Linked DNA regions of Caenorhabditis elegans. The protein of the gene in region 1 interacts with the protein of each later gene in a pairwise test. Each region holds a gene or a part of one and is shown in the gene's direction. Other genes may lie near its edges.

Region 1 (2,800 bases):
ACAATCAGTAAGGAACAAAATCTTAATTTTCGTTAGACTATCACTAATTTTATGTCTAGCTCTTTCTTCTCTTTTCCTTTCTTCACTTTCTTGGGAGTGTCGAAAGACCTCTCTTTCGATGATCAAATATCAATAATATCAAATAGTTTTCTCCTGTATTGTTAATTCCGATTAACATATTAGATGCTAATCACCTCTTATGTGTTCATTTACATATTATTCCAATCCATATAAAAACCCAAGAGAACTCAGTAGATGTATGTTTGATGTAGGATGTATGTTGATGTAGAGATATGATATAATTTCCTTCTAAAGCGCTTCGACTGATATTTTCTGTTTATTTTTATTATTTACATCAATAAATCCTTTTATTATTGCCTACCGTTATTAAAGGAAGAAAGAAAAAAGAAAGAAACTTATCCGAAAGGATAAGTGTTCACATATGCTTCGTCCATTCATTACAAAAATATAATAATTTTACAGAATATACCAATTAGTTATGTTGAACATAATGCATTCGGAAGAGTTTTTACAACAAAAATGAAATAACTCTTTTAAAAAATTATTCATTTTAATTTCTGTGACGAAGATAGATAATCTTTTCAGAAAGACTTGGTCCCATTCCATAATAGATATATTATTGATTCAGTTCTTTTTTCATTCAGTTGTTTGTGAACACAAAACCCAATAAAGTTATTCGATACTGACATTTGTCTAGTGTAAAGTTCAGTTTCCAATGTGTTATCTGCCCAACCTATCAAGAAAGAAACGCTTAACCTTTCCGTGCAGCCAATTTGACATTAAGCACTGAAGAATTATTAAATGCATACTAGAATTTAACAGGAACTAATTGACAAACAGTTTACCTTTAGAACAAAGACTAATTTCCAATCAAAAATAATTGTTTTAAAGAAGTAACTGAGCCCAAAATAAATACCCTGACAACTGTAACTAAGGAAAACAAGTCAATTATATTGTCTACGGAAAACACACAAATAAAAATGATCATATTGGGTTGAATTACGACTCAAATAGTCTATCATGCTCTTTTGATATTGCTTTTTGGTCAAAAAACAGTCCCTCGCAACGAATATACGTGAAAAGCAAATGACAAAGCCACGGATACGTGTACAATGGATAATTTATTGAGTGTCACAAGTGTTCCAAAAATCTGAAAAACTTATTGATCTAAATACTTGAGATATAACTTGATTTCAATGTTTTATTGTTGACAAGGACTGTTTTACTCTGTTTTTTTTCTACTGCAATTACTAATATTCAACGTGTCACGCATAGGTTGTGATTTTATTTTATTTTGAGAAATTCAGTGATATTTTAAGAACACGTCAAATGAAAACGTCAGACTATTACATTAATGGAAACATCGGAAAATAACAAAGGTTCGCTCGTAGAATGCGCATCGCATGTCTTACAATATCTCAAAAGATATCTGATCTGATCACTATTTTATTATCAAAATGTTCAACCCATTTGATATAACATGTATGAAACAAAAAATATTATTGTTTTAAAAAACTTTCCAATGTGACGATCATTTTCATCATACTTCAACATCATGAGGGAGGAACTGGTCTTCTGGATCATTCTCTCCCATTTGGCCTATGAGTAACACCCGTTCCGCTCCTTTAGTTTGTTTGAGCTTCTTTGTCGTTTTGAACAAGAAAGGTGACTAACAAATAAGGCAAACAAAAATATCATCACACCCTCTTATAAACTTATCGAGCGTCAAAAAATGGAGGAGGGCCAAATGCCACCAGCGCATGATAATTTAAACGTTTTATCACTTATGACGTGTGTCCTCCATTGAATAGATTGCTCAAATACTCAAACGCGAAGACCATACTCCATCAGTTTTTCAGCTTTCCATCTAAAAATAGGTCCTTTTTTGGATAAACCTATTTTTCAAAACTGTTCAAAATCTTCTTTTTATCTTATTTCTTGATGTACATTATTTTACCAATCCTTTTTTACTAACTTATTGATTTTTAGAAATAATGTCGTACTACGGAAACGGAGGATACAACGCTCCATACGGAGGACACGGAGGATATGCTCCACCACCAGTCCACGGAGCTCCAGGATACATGCCACCAACTGTTCATGTCCACACTGACGGAGGACACCACGGACATATGGACACCCATCACCACCATGACAGCCACCATCATGGAGGACACCATGGAGGACATCACGGAGGACACTACGAAAGCCATTATGAAAGCCATCATCATCATGGACACCATGGACATCATTAAATGTGATGCAATTTTGTAAAATTTTTGCACTAAGCTGTTAACCTTCCCATATGATCCTACTAACAATAAATGCTTTACAGTTTATTTGAAAAAGATTTTGCAAAAAGATTTAACAAAAAGCATAAACCATGGAAAATCTATTTGGAACTGTTATCCCTTTTTGTTTTTAATTTTTTAATTTAAAAATAACAAAATTTTCCTAAACGCGTAAAACAAATAAGCACGGCAATTTTCAGACTTCATCAAATTTATTCGGTGTAACATAAAATTCAAATAGTTTTGCCAATAGTGGGACCGTCAAGTTTAACTTTATCCAAAGCTCCATACAGCATTCTCTCACTTACAATATTTCAGAAAAAATAATTTCTTCTTGCGACTTTTGTTAAGCGAATAAATCCTTCAAAAATTAAAAATATATTGATTTTTTCAGTTCAGTTTTTTGTCTAGCTGTTTATTCTCCTTTGAAGTCTTTGAAATTTCAAAGTTCCAAATTCGAATCATGATTTGATTTGATTTTTCGTTTT
Region 2 (7,748 bases), on another chromosome or scaffold:
TTTTGGCAAATGTGGGCAATTTTTTTTGCAACACCTGGGCCGGCAATTTCTTAATCACAGCGGTAGCGACGAGAGTTTGAAATTACAGTACTCTTTAGAGACGCAAACCTTTTCGCATTAAATAAAATGAAAGACTAATTTTCAATTGGTCCGTGGGGTGCAAGACTAATAGAGACTAATAGAGGAAATACAGCATATATTTTTATTAGATGGTGCAAAGTCCTATTTTCCCAGAAGATCACATCTTATTAAATTAAGATTCTCTGGTTCGCTGCCCCCTTCTCTTCCAAAGTTTCCTCAAAAATATATCCGAAGGGAAAATAAAAAATAATATGCGCAGACGATAATAAAAAAATATAGACAAAAACCCGATTCTCTAAGAGATCAAGCACGTCGATTACGTTATATTATTTTTCCCCTGTCAAATTTCATTGTTATGCAACATCTGCATGACGTCCATCTTCTGGACAAGACCGAGAGATGATATGGGCGGTCTGTACACGTTTTTTTTCTGTCTTTCAGATATCTCATCGTAATAAGCTTGCAGATATTTTTCTAGTATAGTTTTATCTAACATTTCTGACATTTTCAAAAATTTTCAAAATTGAAGCGAAAAAGTTGGTGGCCGAGTTGTTATTTATTCCCGGCCACATCGCAAAAAAAATCATAATTTACTCTGTTTTTGGAAAATTAGGTAAAAATTACTTTCAAAAACAGTAAACAATGGTTCAAAGTTGCATGTCCAGTTTTTCACTTCGTTCTTGTATACTCCCCCTGGTAAAATGTCTACTTCTATTTGTAAACTTGCTGATTTTTGAATCCTTAATAACTCAGTACCTGTAAGAGATACAAAAATATTGTCAACTATCAAAATAATCAAAATTGTCTCAAAAATATTTTGTCAGTTGACAATATTTTTCCAACTCCTATCCCAACGGAGTTATTCGTTCCATAAGAGATCACATTTTCCACAGACCACACCCCAATTATTTCCAATAAATCAGAAAATAATCAAAGTCCATTATCACTGCTTATCCCGTTAGCCATGTTTCATAGAAGGGCTAAATGATAATGGATTCTTCTTTTTTCAACATTCTCCTTCTCCTTCTTGCCTGTCGGTTTCCTTTTCCGATCCAGAGAAGAAGGGGAAACTTGTCGATTAGCCAGTTCACAAATCAAGAAATACCGGTGGATTCGGAAATTTCTCTTTCTCGAGATTTTTGACATGCTTTCGGTTTGACCCTTCTATGTGTCATTTAAGTTTTTTTTTGTTTATTTTCGTTGGAACATTTTGAAAACTAGTGTAAATCTGTTATTATAAGTTTATTCGTTTATTTAAGTACATTTTCGGTCAGTGGGGTCTAAATAAAAGTTACATTTTTGTGTCCCACTAACTTTTTAACTTTTTTTTGAGAAATTTTCAAAACGTTTCATTAAACGCGGTAGTTTTTGGTCATTTTGGGCATAAAAAGGCAAAGTCTTCAATTTAGGTACTAGAGTTTTTAATATCAGTCCGTCATTTTAGTTTTTGATTTGTTTCCTTTTTTATTTTTAGTTTGTTCCTAAATTCTGAAAGGCTATATCACTATTGTTCTGGATTCTACCAATTAAACTTTGATATAATTTCTTAAAAAATAGTTTGCTCCTAGAAATTGTAAAGTCAAAACCCTTCTTTCTATCCTGTCTGCAACTTTCAATTTTTCAATAAAAACTAAACACAGATATTCTAGATCAATTCCATATGCGAAGGCTTTTGATACATCTAGTTGTCCTTCTAGTACTATTACTAGAAGGACACAATGTTCTAGGGTTTGCAAGTGCGCCAGGGACCTATCCAGAAGAAGAAACACGAGCTGGTAATGATATGGAAGTGCCCAAAAATCCATATGAAAGCACATGGACCGGATATGATTTTTATTATGAAAAGGAGCCAAAGAAGGGTACGTTAGAAAAAATATGCAATTTTTGAAATTTATTTTCCAAATTATTATCAATTTTTCCCTGTAAATGTTGGCCGAGTTTATCTTGCACTTTATATTACGTTTCATTTCCAGATTATCATTTCTCGGCAGTCATGTAGCAAAATCAGAATAGCCTGTCAATAACTTCCTTCTAATTTTCAGTCCCACCCTCCGCAGGCAGCGGAAAAATGCCAGCGTTCCAGTCGATCGCGTCCATCTCAACAGACCGTGAATCTCCAGAAGACCCAGGAAATAGTGGTTATTTAGCGTCCGGAGCCGAATCTGGACCCAAGAAAACCACGTCGAAACCTGCAACAACACCCACTCCAGAACCTACCACTACTCCCGTAGAAGAAGAAAAAGTAAAAGTGTCGCCGAGCAGTAGTACTAAAGGTTGGTGGAAAGTTGAGTTTTGTGGCCACGTAGAAATATCTCACCTATGCACCAGAACACCTAAATAGTGGTTTCACACACACGTGTTTTATAAAACTTCACTCCAGATCCATCAAAGCTGCACAAAACCACCAAAACACCTGTCACTATCACAAATATAATATCAACCACCACTGCACCACCAGCGCCATCTAGAGCACCAGAAAATGATCCGGAATCCGGATCCGACCAATCGGAGAGCACTGATAATTTGGATTTACTTTACGGCGGGGGAAGTTCTGCCACAGCCACCGGGGAGGATAAGAAAGGTATTTGGAATAGGAAAATATAATTGAGTATCTAGAGAATATGTAAAACTAACGTTCTAAATATTTAACATCTGAAAACAATTTTCTAGTAGTGTCACATGTCACATTGTAGATTTTGTGTACTGCCTTTTTCAACTTTTGGAGTTCAAATAAAGATAGGTCTTCTGAATACATGTAGTGGCCATTGTCATCGACATATAAGCGCAAAATAGCGCACAAGTGGACATATAAGCGCAAAATTCAAAGTTAGCCAGATTATCAAACTGTCTTTAAAACCAGCACGGCACTCTACCACTAATAATCCCAACTTTTGCACAGACCCTCCCAAACTGCATGATCCACCTCCACCGCATCCATCTGCACCACAAAACCTTTTAACCCAATTGATTCAAAAGAAGAAGGATGCACCAAACAAAGGATCATCTGAGAAAAGTTCCAAATGGTCAGATGATCATGCTTCCGGGTATCCGGAGGGAAGTGCTCCTAGCGCTGAGCCATCTGAAAACCAGTATGAGCAAGATGGTTCTATTCCATCGTCGAATGACTACAAAGAGCTCACAGATGTACCAGGTACAAAGCCAAGCTCTTCAGCTTCACGTGGTTCAAATATGGCAGGTAACCCCACAGCACCGCTCACCACCACTCAGCACACTTTTGCACCAAACAGCACTGAAACATCAAGATCTTCTACTAGCAGAGGAAAGGCTCCTGGGACCGAACCTAAGTCTGAAGCTCGGTATAGCTCTCAGAATCCTTACTCAGACAACTCGAGCACCCAGAAGCCAGAATACGAATCTGGATACCCAGCGGTGTCTGGAGCAAACTCAAGAGCCCAAATTCCTAATATCACGGACTACACTAAACCATCAGCAGTGTCAATTGAATACGCATCAAGCTCGAAGGAAAGGTCTGATCCTCCATTTTCAACACCCTTAACATCTAATTCACAACATGTACTTACACAGCCAAGGCCAAGGGATTATGAAGATGGCCCGCAGGAGACAACTCGGACAAAAGCTAGTGGCACAAAATCACCTAACTCACTCCAAGCACCTCAACAAACTGCAGCACATCTCATGAAAAATGCCAGAGCACCTGGTCCGGAGCCAAGTCTTCACAGCACTACCACTCACCACGTACAAACACCAATTATCACCATAGCACCCAAGTTTTCAGAACCATCACCATATGCAGAAAATATTATGCTTACACCAAAGCAGGCACCTGGCACCGAACCTCGGTCTAACTCTCAGAACCCTCAAACAGATCGGTTAGCCTCCCAATCAGGATATGAATCCGGCGGGCCTGGACGTCCACAAAATGTTTCAATAAGACACCGAGAGAATCCAAAGGGATCTGATGCAATTTCAAGAACCGCTATTACTCCTTCTAAGATTGATTACTTTGCACCATCGTCACCAACAGGGCCAATTGGATATGAACGTCAAGTCCCGAGTTTCAAGGAAGGACCAGATCATCAATATACAAAATACTCCACGCTCAATTCACCACCTGCACCATCACCACAAGAGTCAAGCACAATCACTCACCATGTCTCCACATCACCCGACTTTTTAGAGCCATCATCAGAAAGTTCTGTGCTCTTACCGAAGCAAGCACCCGGCACCAATCCGAGCACGTCTAATAGTCCACCTGGATATTCTGAACTAATTGGCCCCTCTGGTCCCGGTAATGGTCTACCTGAAGCACCCAGTCACGCCGCACAAAACATTCCCAGAGCACACACGTTTTCAGAGTCACAAGGGTACGAACCGATGGGAAACAATGGGCCAAGTATCTTTGAGGGTCCTGGAACAGAATCTGGATATTCTGAGCCTAAAGCTCTTAGTACTGCGTCACAAAAGACTAAACCAGATGACAAGCCATACGAAATACCACGTAGCATTGAGCCCAGCAATTCGAAACCATATCCATCTGACAGTTCCTGGTCTGACCATGACAATGCTCCTGGCAGTGAGCCAAGCTACATCCCGGACGTTTTAGACTACGGAGCACGAGCCAATAATCACGCGGGCAAAATGATGAATATGTCACATGCCACGTCACCAAGCACCGGTTCACCATCTAACTCGAACAATGCGATTTCCGCACGAGACCCATATGATCACTTTGGCACTATCACTGCACCATCTGACATTCCACGTGCCAATTCAAATTTTGAAGAATACCCGGACGATGGAGGATATGACGGGACGAATGATGTGGCAATTGTGCCTTTGAGGTGATTTTTTGTGGGAAATCGAGTCCTCGATGCATCATGTTTAATCTTGCTCGAAACGCATATATCTCGGAAACTACGAGAGCTATCAAAAAGTTGTCAACTAACAAAATGTATAAAAAAGTTTGGCGAACAATTTGTCAGTTAATAACTTTTTATAGACTTAATAGTTTTGGAGAAAAATCAAGATACAATTAGGCACACACTTTTCAGAACACAGCACGGCACAAATCCTTCCACCATCACTACCACGAACACTCAAGTGAGAGCACAAATTTCAGAAATTGATCGGATTGCTGGTAAATAATATCGATATTCCAAAAATTTTTGGAAGAAAAATATGAATCTTACATTATTTCAGAATCTTTCGAGAACTCGGCGCGGGAACCTGTGGAGTATGAACAGCGAATTACTAGTGAATCATCGAAGGGAATTACAGCTGTAACCGGAAAAGATTTTATGGTTTTATTTTAAAATTTCAGCCGATTTTTTTGAAATATAATAAAAATTAAACATTACAGAAGAAGCTTGGAAGAAAGTCGCCAACATGTTGCTCATGTTGTGACGAGAAGCAGTCTGTGAGCAGAAATATTGAGACACAGGTTTAAAAAAAAGCAGCACTGTTTTAAACTTAATAATTTCTAGGCTGACCCATTGCATGTTCAACACGCAGTCGACCCATCACGGCAGTTAGGTACGTAAGTTTCCTCAAGACTCCCCCGTTGGTCACAAAAATAGGTTCGAATCCTGCCGTGGTCGAAACTTTTTTTTGCAGTCGAATCCGAGCCAGTGCAGAACTTTGTCCCTCTCCAGAACACCGTTGGAGGGAACGCCTATATTCAGCCACAACCAGTCGCTCAACAACAGTAAGTCTTTGTTTTAAATGGAAATATGTCACTTTTTTTCCAGAACCATCTACCAACAACCTTTCCAGCAATACCAACCACAGTACCCACAATCTTATCAGCAACCATCCTGCGGGTGCCAGCCACAGCCTCAAAACTGTTGTGCTCCACCTGCTCCTTGCTGTCTCCGTAAGTGACATAAATAATCCGTACAATTCATTCTTAGAACTATCTTTGTTCAGCAACAATTCCATGTTGTCCACCAATACCTTGCTGCCCGCAACCGAAGATTTGCTGTCAGCCAGCGCCAGTCTGTCTCCCTCCACCAACTTGTTGCTCGATTAACTTTAAACTTCCGACTATTCCAATCTGTGGTAGAGCCTGCCCATCGTGTCCATGTCGACGGAGAATGCACAAATCACGTCGTCTCAAGCGTCACTCAATTAACTCGAACTGTCATCAGTGCTCTTCTGCCGGTGAGCCATGGAGATCTGTGTTGCATCACCGAGAGAAACGTGCAGCTCCGGGATGCACTTCCGGTTTTTCGACGATGGTATGACGTTTCAGAGTGAATGGATAGAACTAAAACTCCACTTTTCAGAGTCAAAATTCGTGTGGCACATGTGGAGCGTCAAATCTCAGATCGCCACGTGTCAAGCGTATGGGATGTCTGCCGTGTCTGGGAAGAAAGAAGCGAGATACCGATGAGAATTCTCATATTAGAGTGAAGAGAATGGTGAGTACTGCGAGCTCACAAAAAATCAATTATCAATTTTCTTACAGGGATGTCTTCCATGCCTGGGTCGTAAGAAACGCAGTACCCTATCACAATCGGGATGTTCTCAATGTAATAGTATGGGTCATTTGTTCAATCGCTACAAGAGGAGTCTATTTGGAGGATGTTCGCCGTGTGCACCACAGGTATGAGATTCACGCCTCCCCCAACTTGACTCGAAAAATGCCTCCAATTAAATGCTAGGTGGAATTCAAATTTAGAAAGTACAATGTAAATAAGTAGCTAACAATAAGATTATAACTTTTGAATAACTTGAAAATCAGTTATGACAAAATGTATACGAAGTTCCGAGTTCCCATGTTACGCCTTGGCCAGGTGAAACTCAACATTGTAATACGAAAACCAACTCTCAAATCTTGACACTTTTCAGCAACCCTGCGGATGTGGCCGTAAGAAGCGATCGGTCACCATGAAGCTCGTCAAGAGAGCTCCGATGCAGTGTGACTCCACATGTTGCGACTTTTCAAGGTGAGCACATCTAAGTATTGACTGTAGTGTAACTAACATTTCCTATATTTCAGATGTCCATATCGCCAGAAGAAAGAAGCGCTGGTGCCGTTTATGTAGAGCTCACAGATGATAAGATCACATCGACGGGTTGTACATACCTCATAGAATCATCATATTGACTGCTTATTTCTCAGAGTGTTTTTGAAACATATTATTAATACAATAAATTGCAATAGTTCATTTTTGAAAATCTAACAAAAAAGTAGTAAGATTAGAAGGACAGAAAAGGAACCGGGTCACCCGAAATTGATGGGATTATGGGCCGGAATGATTGTGTGTGTGAAATTGGAATTATTCAAGGAAGACAACTAGAGATCGCAAGTGATTGTTTAAAAAAATATAAATAAGAAAAAATCTAAAAAGTTATGGACTATGGCTTTTCAAAAACCCATTAATTTTCATGTTCAGAAATTCGTTTGGACTACTCGACGATGCTATTTCAGACGCTAGAGATTGATGTTGTTGTTGATCATCGTAGAGTTGGAGCTGGCGTTGATAACTGGCAATTTCCAGACGGAGAGCCTGAAATTAATATCAATTGTGATCTGAAACAGGGGTGGGCTGCAAACGATTTTTCCGGCAAATCGGCAAATTTCCGGAATTGAAAACTTCTGGCAAATCGACAAGTTGCCGGAATTGAAAACTTTTGGCAAATCGACAAGTTGCCGGAATTGAAAACTTTTGGCAAATCGACAA
Region 3 (3,512 bases), on another chromosome or scaffold:
CCTAATTGCGACCTGCTCGGCAAACTCCACCAGCTTTCACGTAGTGCGCGTTTGAAATTTGGTAATTTGAGATTAATTGATAAAGGCCTAGTGGGTTTGCGCCGCCTGCGACCAAAGAATGATTGGACAGACTAGGAATCCCAGCTGAGTGAGGCGCGAAATGCGGGCCTCACGCTGATACCGCTGTGTATTCGAATGTGTATTCAAAATATATTCAAATGCAAAAAGGCAGTTATTTGAAGCAGCCGACACTGTCGGGGTTCACTATACATTCGGATACATGCGGCTTGAGTGACGCCGTGAGGCCGGCGCGGTGACCGCTGAGGCCAGCGGATGCGCCGTTGCGGCGACTTCATGGAAGCCCTAGCACATACCTATCTAAAATACTGCGCCAGAAAGCTGACAACATTCTGGAGAAAGTATCTACACTAACTATAAGTTAACTCGTCAGCACTGTTGCCAGCTATACCGTTACCAATTTTCTTACAGGAATCGATGCGAACATCCTTATCTACATCCTACTCCTTGTCCTTCTCATTTGGTGCTTCTGTATTGCCCTGTGTCTTATTTGGATGTACGTGTGTGCCAAGCAACGAAAACACAAGATGATCAGTAAAGCTGAAGAGGAACGTGAAGCTATGTTGGCACTTTTGGAGAAAGGACACGAGACGGAGCACAGTTCTCGTAGAGCTAAACCATCGGTTTCTGTGGAAAGTGATGAGTTTGATAAGGAGTGGAAAAATGTGAGTTACAAAAACAGTTATTGATTTTTTTTCCAATTTTTAAATTGCAGATCAAACCATCCAAGTACACCCCCGCTTCTGTTTCCACTAACGAAACTAAATCCGAATTGGAGAGTGTGAAGCAACCGGTTGCAGCTACCCATGTCGCTCCTGTAGAAGTTTCAGAGTTCGAGGAGAGGCTCGATGATGATGTGGATCATAAGCCAAGACATGGAGGATATGTTAAGACGAAGAGAACTGCTGACTTACATTTTGACTGAAAATGAATAAAGTTTATGAGGGAATTAAATGGAATGTTAGTTGATGACTCAGGAATAAATTTTCGATAATTCCCAAGAGAAATGTGGTGACCCCTGGTAGCTTCTAGGTAATTGCAAATGAATTCTCGTATGAAAATGTTATAAATTGAAAAAATTCTCTCAATTTTTAGTACACGAGTACCCTGAACCTTGTGCTGTTTTCAAAGTATGTGTGTCTAGCTTCCCTCTTCGTCTATGCGCCTCTCACTTTCCGAACACATTCGCTGGTCCCACTTTCTGAACCCGCTTTTTCTCTGTTTCATGTTTTTTGAGCATCAATAAAAACAACGAATGTTTCCTACTTTTGACCAGTTTTCCGGTTTCAACTGTTCAGCAATTTTTTTCGATCTAAAGCAATAGTTTTTACTGTAATTTCTGTAGTGTTTGAAGAAAACCCCACGGATTTATGAGTTATAAAATATCAATATGCGTTTTTAAGTGTTTATTTCGACGAAATTTTTTTTACCTCTATTTTTATCAGTTTTAGAGCTCGATGAGCCGAGTAAAATTATTGAGTAGTCAGTAAACTCTTTTATCTATTTTTTCTATTTTTGAGCACCAATTTTGTAACAAAATGAAATTTAAGAATTCGGACCAATCTTTGCTTAGTTAAGCGCAATTTCAAACAATCAGCAACCCGTTTTTTATAAGTTTCAGATTCGAAATAATGGATCAACTATTTTATAATGGACCACCTGATTACGTTGAAATTGAAGACCGAGCCATAACAACTGAACCAGGAGCTTCTATACAAGCAGCTCCCGGAGCAATTTGGATGGAAGCACTTCCAGCGATTGAGGGAATCCCAGCAGGGTTGGAATACCTTGCCTACTTGGACACGGTCATGGTGCATCAAGTGAAGGAGGTTCTTGAGATTCTTACTGGATGGGAGAGTAAAAATAAGTATGCTATTAGAAATAAAAATGGACAGCAGTGTTACTATGCGTTCGAAGAATCCAACGCTTGGGAGAGACAGTGTTGTGGATCGCAACGAGGTTTTACGATGCACATTGTGGATAATTTTAACAAGGTGAGTTATGGCCTAGAGATGCAGATTTCTAAGCCATGAAGCTTGAGTTCTTATCACTTTTTAACTCCTGATTATTTCATGGGATGTGTAATAATAGGAAAACATTCCTAAAGTTTCTTGAAAATTCTTTTAAATTAAGTTTTTAAAACATTTGTTTTGTTAAGAATGTGCTCATCGTCAAACGAGAATTAAGATGCTGCGCAGACTCATTTTGTGGATGCTTGCTAGGTCTTCAAAACATATGCACCATTGAATCACTATCAACTGGCCTTCTGGGTACTGTCCTTCAAGGATATGGTTGCACGAATTCATTCTATAACATTTTGGATAAAGATGGAAATCTGATTTTCCTAGTTGATGGTCAAGGATGTTGCACAAGTTGCTGCTGTGAAGATAAGGATTTTACGGTGACAAGACTTTGCCGAATTTAAAATACTCCATACTTTTCAGATCAAAACTCCCGACAGCTCCGTGCCAATTGGCTCAATAACCAAGAAGTGGGGTGGACTATTGCGTGAAGCGTTTACCGATGCCGACACTTTTGCAGTCACCTGTGAGTTAGTCTTGAAAGTGAAAGAATAGTTGAAAGAATTTCAGTTCCCATCGACCTTGATGTCAAGCTCAAAGCGATACTGCTGGGAGCCACATTTTTGATTGTGAGTTTTTGTGCTTCTTATCCAAAATTTAATTTAACTATTACTCTATTTTCAGGATTTCGTGGAGTTCGAAAATAATAACTGATGTGGAAAAACTGGAAATCTCGCAATGCACTTCTCGCTTGTTTTCTGCGATCAGAGCTCTAATTATGAAATGATAATGTGCTTTCTTTGTATGCATGTATATTAAAATAAGACATTTTGCAAACGCGCCGTTTGCATCGCTTTGCTTCTTTTCTTCAACATCTTCAAAATGAAATAAAATAATTATAATTATATCGCACTTCCAATAAGCGTAAAGCAAGAACGATTGAATATATAACGGAGAAAACTCCGATATTAAAAATCTAGAAATCTTTTGATTAAAAATCTTTCGGTAAACTGATAAATACAAATTTGGCCTACTTTTCACCTGTATCGTTACCACCGACATGCTCTACTGCCATGCACATCTCTTCAATTCCGTGATTTACGAGACGAGAGGCAATAAAGATCACAGTTACGTTTTTTAAAGATTACAACTTTTTCAACTTCTTAGATTTTCACGAATACTTCCTTGTTGCATGTCTACGAAGCAAGCCTGCTGCCGAACCCAATTCTTTCAAAACGAACTATATTCATTTTTCAACCCTTTTTGATAAGTTTATCTTTTGTTAAAATATAAGAAAATGTCTTCGGAAGATCCTATTTATTCACAAAACGAATCACTGTTGTTAGGCAGTTCTAACAAGTAAGTTTCTTTTTTTGCACTGCTAGTGAGCCCAAGATTTTCCAAATAAAAGAT
Region 4 (2,740 bases), on another chromosome or scaffold:
GACGCGAAATTCAAAATTCAAATTTCTGATAGTGAGAATTTCTTTGGCGGGAGTATTAAATAAATTTTTGCTGGGTAGGCACAAATAGTTTGCATAGTTGCTTTCAAGGGGACCTGCTTCCTTGCTGTCCACCCCCAAACATTTATTGTCACGCTAAAAGAGCACAGACAGGGGCCTAAATAGGCAAGGGATTCCAACAAGAAAACGTATCTGCCTATCATGATGACCTTAGTATTAGCTTCTACACAGCTGATAACATTTCACAAACCTTGCTCCAATAACCTGGTTAAAAGCGATTGCGTGCTTCTTCATCAAATCAATCTCTGGAACTGCAACTAATGGGCACATCACTTCGAACTTATCAATATTCCATTCTTTGTCGCCATAAACATTCTGAAGTTGTGTCAATTTTTATGGCTTTCTTTTTCCTTCAAACACGTACATATCTAACTTGAATCTTGAAGTTGAATTCCTCAACTGGGTTATCTATTAAAGTACCAATTTGAACTCTCATAGTTACTCTGAATACAAATCGATCGTACTCTCCACCAGTCAATTGCACCGCTGTGTGTTGCTTTTAAAAGGAAAATAAGAATGTTCTGTGAAACTTTATAGTTGTGATACTTACATCGCCTTTCACCGGATGATACATCTTCTGGAACCAGAGCCACCAATCGATAAAATTATACTTTCCGATTTTCTTCAACTCACTCCCGTGACACACTTGAATGTCGAGATCAGCAGATACACCGGTATAAGATAGCCAATTAAATGGGATTACAGACTCTTCTCTATCCATTGTGAATAGTTCATAGAAATGTTTGAATACTTTTTTCCTTGTATCAACTCTCTCTGGGTCAGTTTCATGAAGATCCAAAAATATATCAGTGTTTTCCAGATTCGTAACACCATACTCTGTACATGCTCCAACTTCTTCAATCCTTGTCAGTGTGTAGTTGCTGTATGGTTTTTCTCCGAGAAGTTCCATTTTAACAAGATAAGATATCTTTGAAGAGTACTCCCAAGTGGAATGTGCCATAAACGATACCAGGAATATATTGTCATTTATACTCTCCGTTGGAACAGGACTCCAGGAAACTTTCTGAAAAATAAAATGATATGTGAGTGTTTAAAATTACTGCCTACCTCTCCAGAATTTCTCCGGTACGTCCCTCGTTGTCGTTTCCAGAATTCAGCCATTTGATCTGGAATTCAATCTTTTTTTTAAATTCTGGACCAAAAACGGCAATACGCAATTGTAAAAGTTGAACTTACAGAAATTCAGCATTTCCATTCCACCGCATATCTTTCCCTCGAAGTTTATATCCATCAGACTATACAAAATATCAGCACTCTCTTGAAACTTATAATTGTGATTCGATGATTGTCTCAACAAGTGAAGAGCCACCAATTGAGCCGAATGATTTCTTGCAGCATCCACATCCTCCTGAGTCTTCCAATAAAACTTAAACCGTTGGATTAATCCATGTTCACTCAGCGAGAATCGTTTTCCAATTTTCTTGAAAATTTGTTGAGTCTTGTTCGATGTATCCGTAGTTGATATTCCAATAAGAAAGAACAGCGCAAGTTGAATAAATTTCATCTTTGTTGAAAAACTTGGTATTGTTTCATTTATTTGAAAATTGGATTTTTATCGAGATACAGTTTTCACGTAAATTGGTTGCAAAAAACTAGTTTATTTTTGTTTTACAATTAGAAGTATTTAAAATACATTTAAATAAACAAAATAACAATAAAATGAAAACGTAACCTCTCCTTAACTTCCTTATCAGTAAAGTTCATCAAAATGTTGATTTGTCCCCTTCCTTCTCCATATCCAATCATTCCCTTACATCTATTTGGTGATCAACTTTGTCTCCTCAAAAATAAGTCTACAAATGATCAACATCGATCCACCATCCGGCGACTACCCAGCTTCTGGTGGTTCATCAACTCACTACATTGTCTCCGAATCGGAATCTCGTTTGGCATTCAAAGTCAAGTCGTCCAACAATGAATCGTATCGTGTTCGCCCAGTCTATGGATTCGTTGATGCGAAGGGAAAGGCTAAGCTCGAAGTGAATCGTTTGGCTGGACCAGCGAAGGAGGACAAGCTTGTCATTCAATACGCCGAAGTTCCAGCTGATGAGACCGATCCGAAGGCTCCGTTTGCGGCTGGTGCTCAACAAGGAGAAGTCGTTGTCAAGATGGTTGCTAGCTAAGAAAGCTTACTTTATGGTACTTTTCATATGATAAAAATTTTTATGAGATTATTGATTTTAAATAAAATCATTTTTGTCGGTGTGGCGGGGTTTATAGCTTGTGTGCAAGTGAAAAGCTGTTAAAAATCGTAAATGCGCCTTGCCGGCGGTAGGCGGTAAGCGAACATGCCTACCTTCAATGGGAAACTCAATTGTCAGTAGTTGAGCTATTTTCAAAATGTTTTGTCGGGGACTTGTTTCAAATTTTGAGCGTTTTCAGAATTATATAACAAATTTTTTCTAGGAGACAAAAGCTTCCTGTTCAATCAAAAAACTGAGCTAAAAGTTTCTGAGACAAGTCTACTACGAAACATGAAAAAAAATTCTGTAGAATCGAATGTAATTCTATAATTGGAGTCTTCTTGTTTTTTGAGTTCGGTTTGACCAAAAACAGATGCACCCGATGAATCAGTTAAAGCTGAGTTTTGATTGATTGAAGTTTGAGGAGGCTTTATATTAGGAAAGACGTACCCATATTT

Evidence for each region.
Region 2: the proteins of F53A9.6 (region 1) and K08E7.5 interact in a two-hybrid assay, tested with the Caenorhabditis elegans proteins (one large-scale study listed by BioGRID).
Region 3: the proteins of F53A9.6 (region 1) and scrm-2 interact in a two-hybrid assay, tested with the Caenorhabditis elegans proteins (one large-scale study listed by BioGRID).
Region 4: the proteins of F53A9.6 (region 1) and ssp-31 interact in a two-hybrid assay, tested with the Caenorhabditis elegans proteins (one large-scale study listed by BioGRID).

The regions. Positions count from the first base shown.
Region 1 is NC_003284.9:8,713,020-8,715,819, reverse strand, and holds F53A9.6 (Spore coat protein), read left to right. Parts: upstream 1-2,015; coding exon 2,016-2,276; downstream 2,277-2,800.
Region 2 is NC_003282.8:12,571,640-12,579,387, forward strand, and holds K08E7.5 (Prion-like-(Q/N-rich)-domain-bearing protein), read left to right. Parts: upstream 1-1,728; 5' UTR 1,729-1,741; coding exon 1,742-1,940; intron 1,941-2,123; coding exon 2,124-2,354; intron 2,355-2,461; coding exon 2,462-2,662; intron 2,663-2,980; coding exon 2,981-4,904; intron 4,905-5,114; coding exon 5,115-5,200; intron 5,201-5,262; coding exon 5,263-5,363; intron 5,364-5,422; coding exon 5,423-5,503; intron 5,504-5,546; coding exon 5,547-5,595; intron 5,596-5,676; coding exon 5,677-5,767; intron 5,768-5,810; coding exon 5,811-5,935; intron 5,936-5,988; coding exon 5,989-6,299; intron 6,300-6,347; coding exon 6,348-6,482; intron 6,483-6,529; coding exon 6,530-6,667; intron 6,668-6,912; coding exon 6,913-7,010; intron 7,011-7,063; coding exon 7,064-7,109; 3' UTR 7,110-7,231; downstream 7,232-7,748. Other genes in the region: K08E7.6 (Myb_DNA-bind_5 domain-containing protein), read right to left, coding at 7,416-7,574.
Region 3 is NC_003279.8:13,233,658-13,237,169, forward strand, and holds scrm-2 (Phospholipid scramblase), read left to right. Parts: upstream 1-1,690; 5' UTR 1,691-1,709; coding exon 1,710-2,072; intron 2,073-2,236; coding exon 2,237-2,479; intron 2,480-2,522; coding exon 2,523-2,625; intron 2,626-2,669; coding exon 2,670-2,728; intron 2,729-2,783; coding exon 2,784-2,813; 3' UTR 2,814-3,006; downstream 3,007-3,512. Other genes in the region: ZK1053.2 (uncharacterized protein), read left to right, coding at 490-743, 794-1,003.
Region 4 is NC_003279.8:13,217,243-13,219,982, forward strand, and holds ssp-31 (Sperm-specific class P protein 31), read left to right. Parts: upstream 1-1,898; coding exon 1,899-2,222; downstream 2,223-2,740. Other genes in the region: ZK1225.5 (FSA_C domain-containing protein), read right to left, coding at 269-393, 443-574, 629-1,102, 1,147-1,205, 1,276-1,603.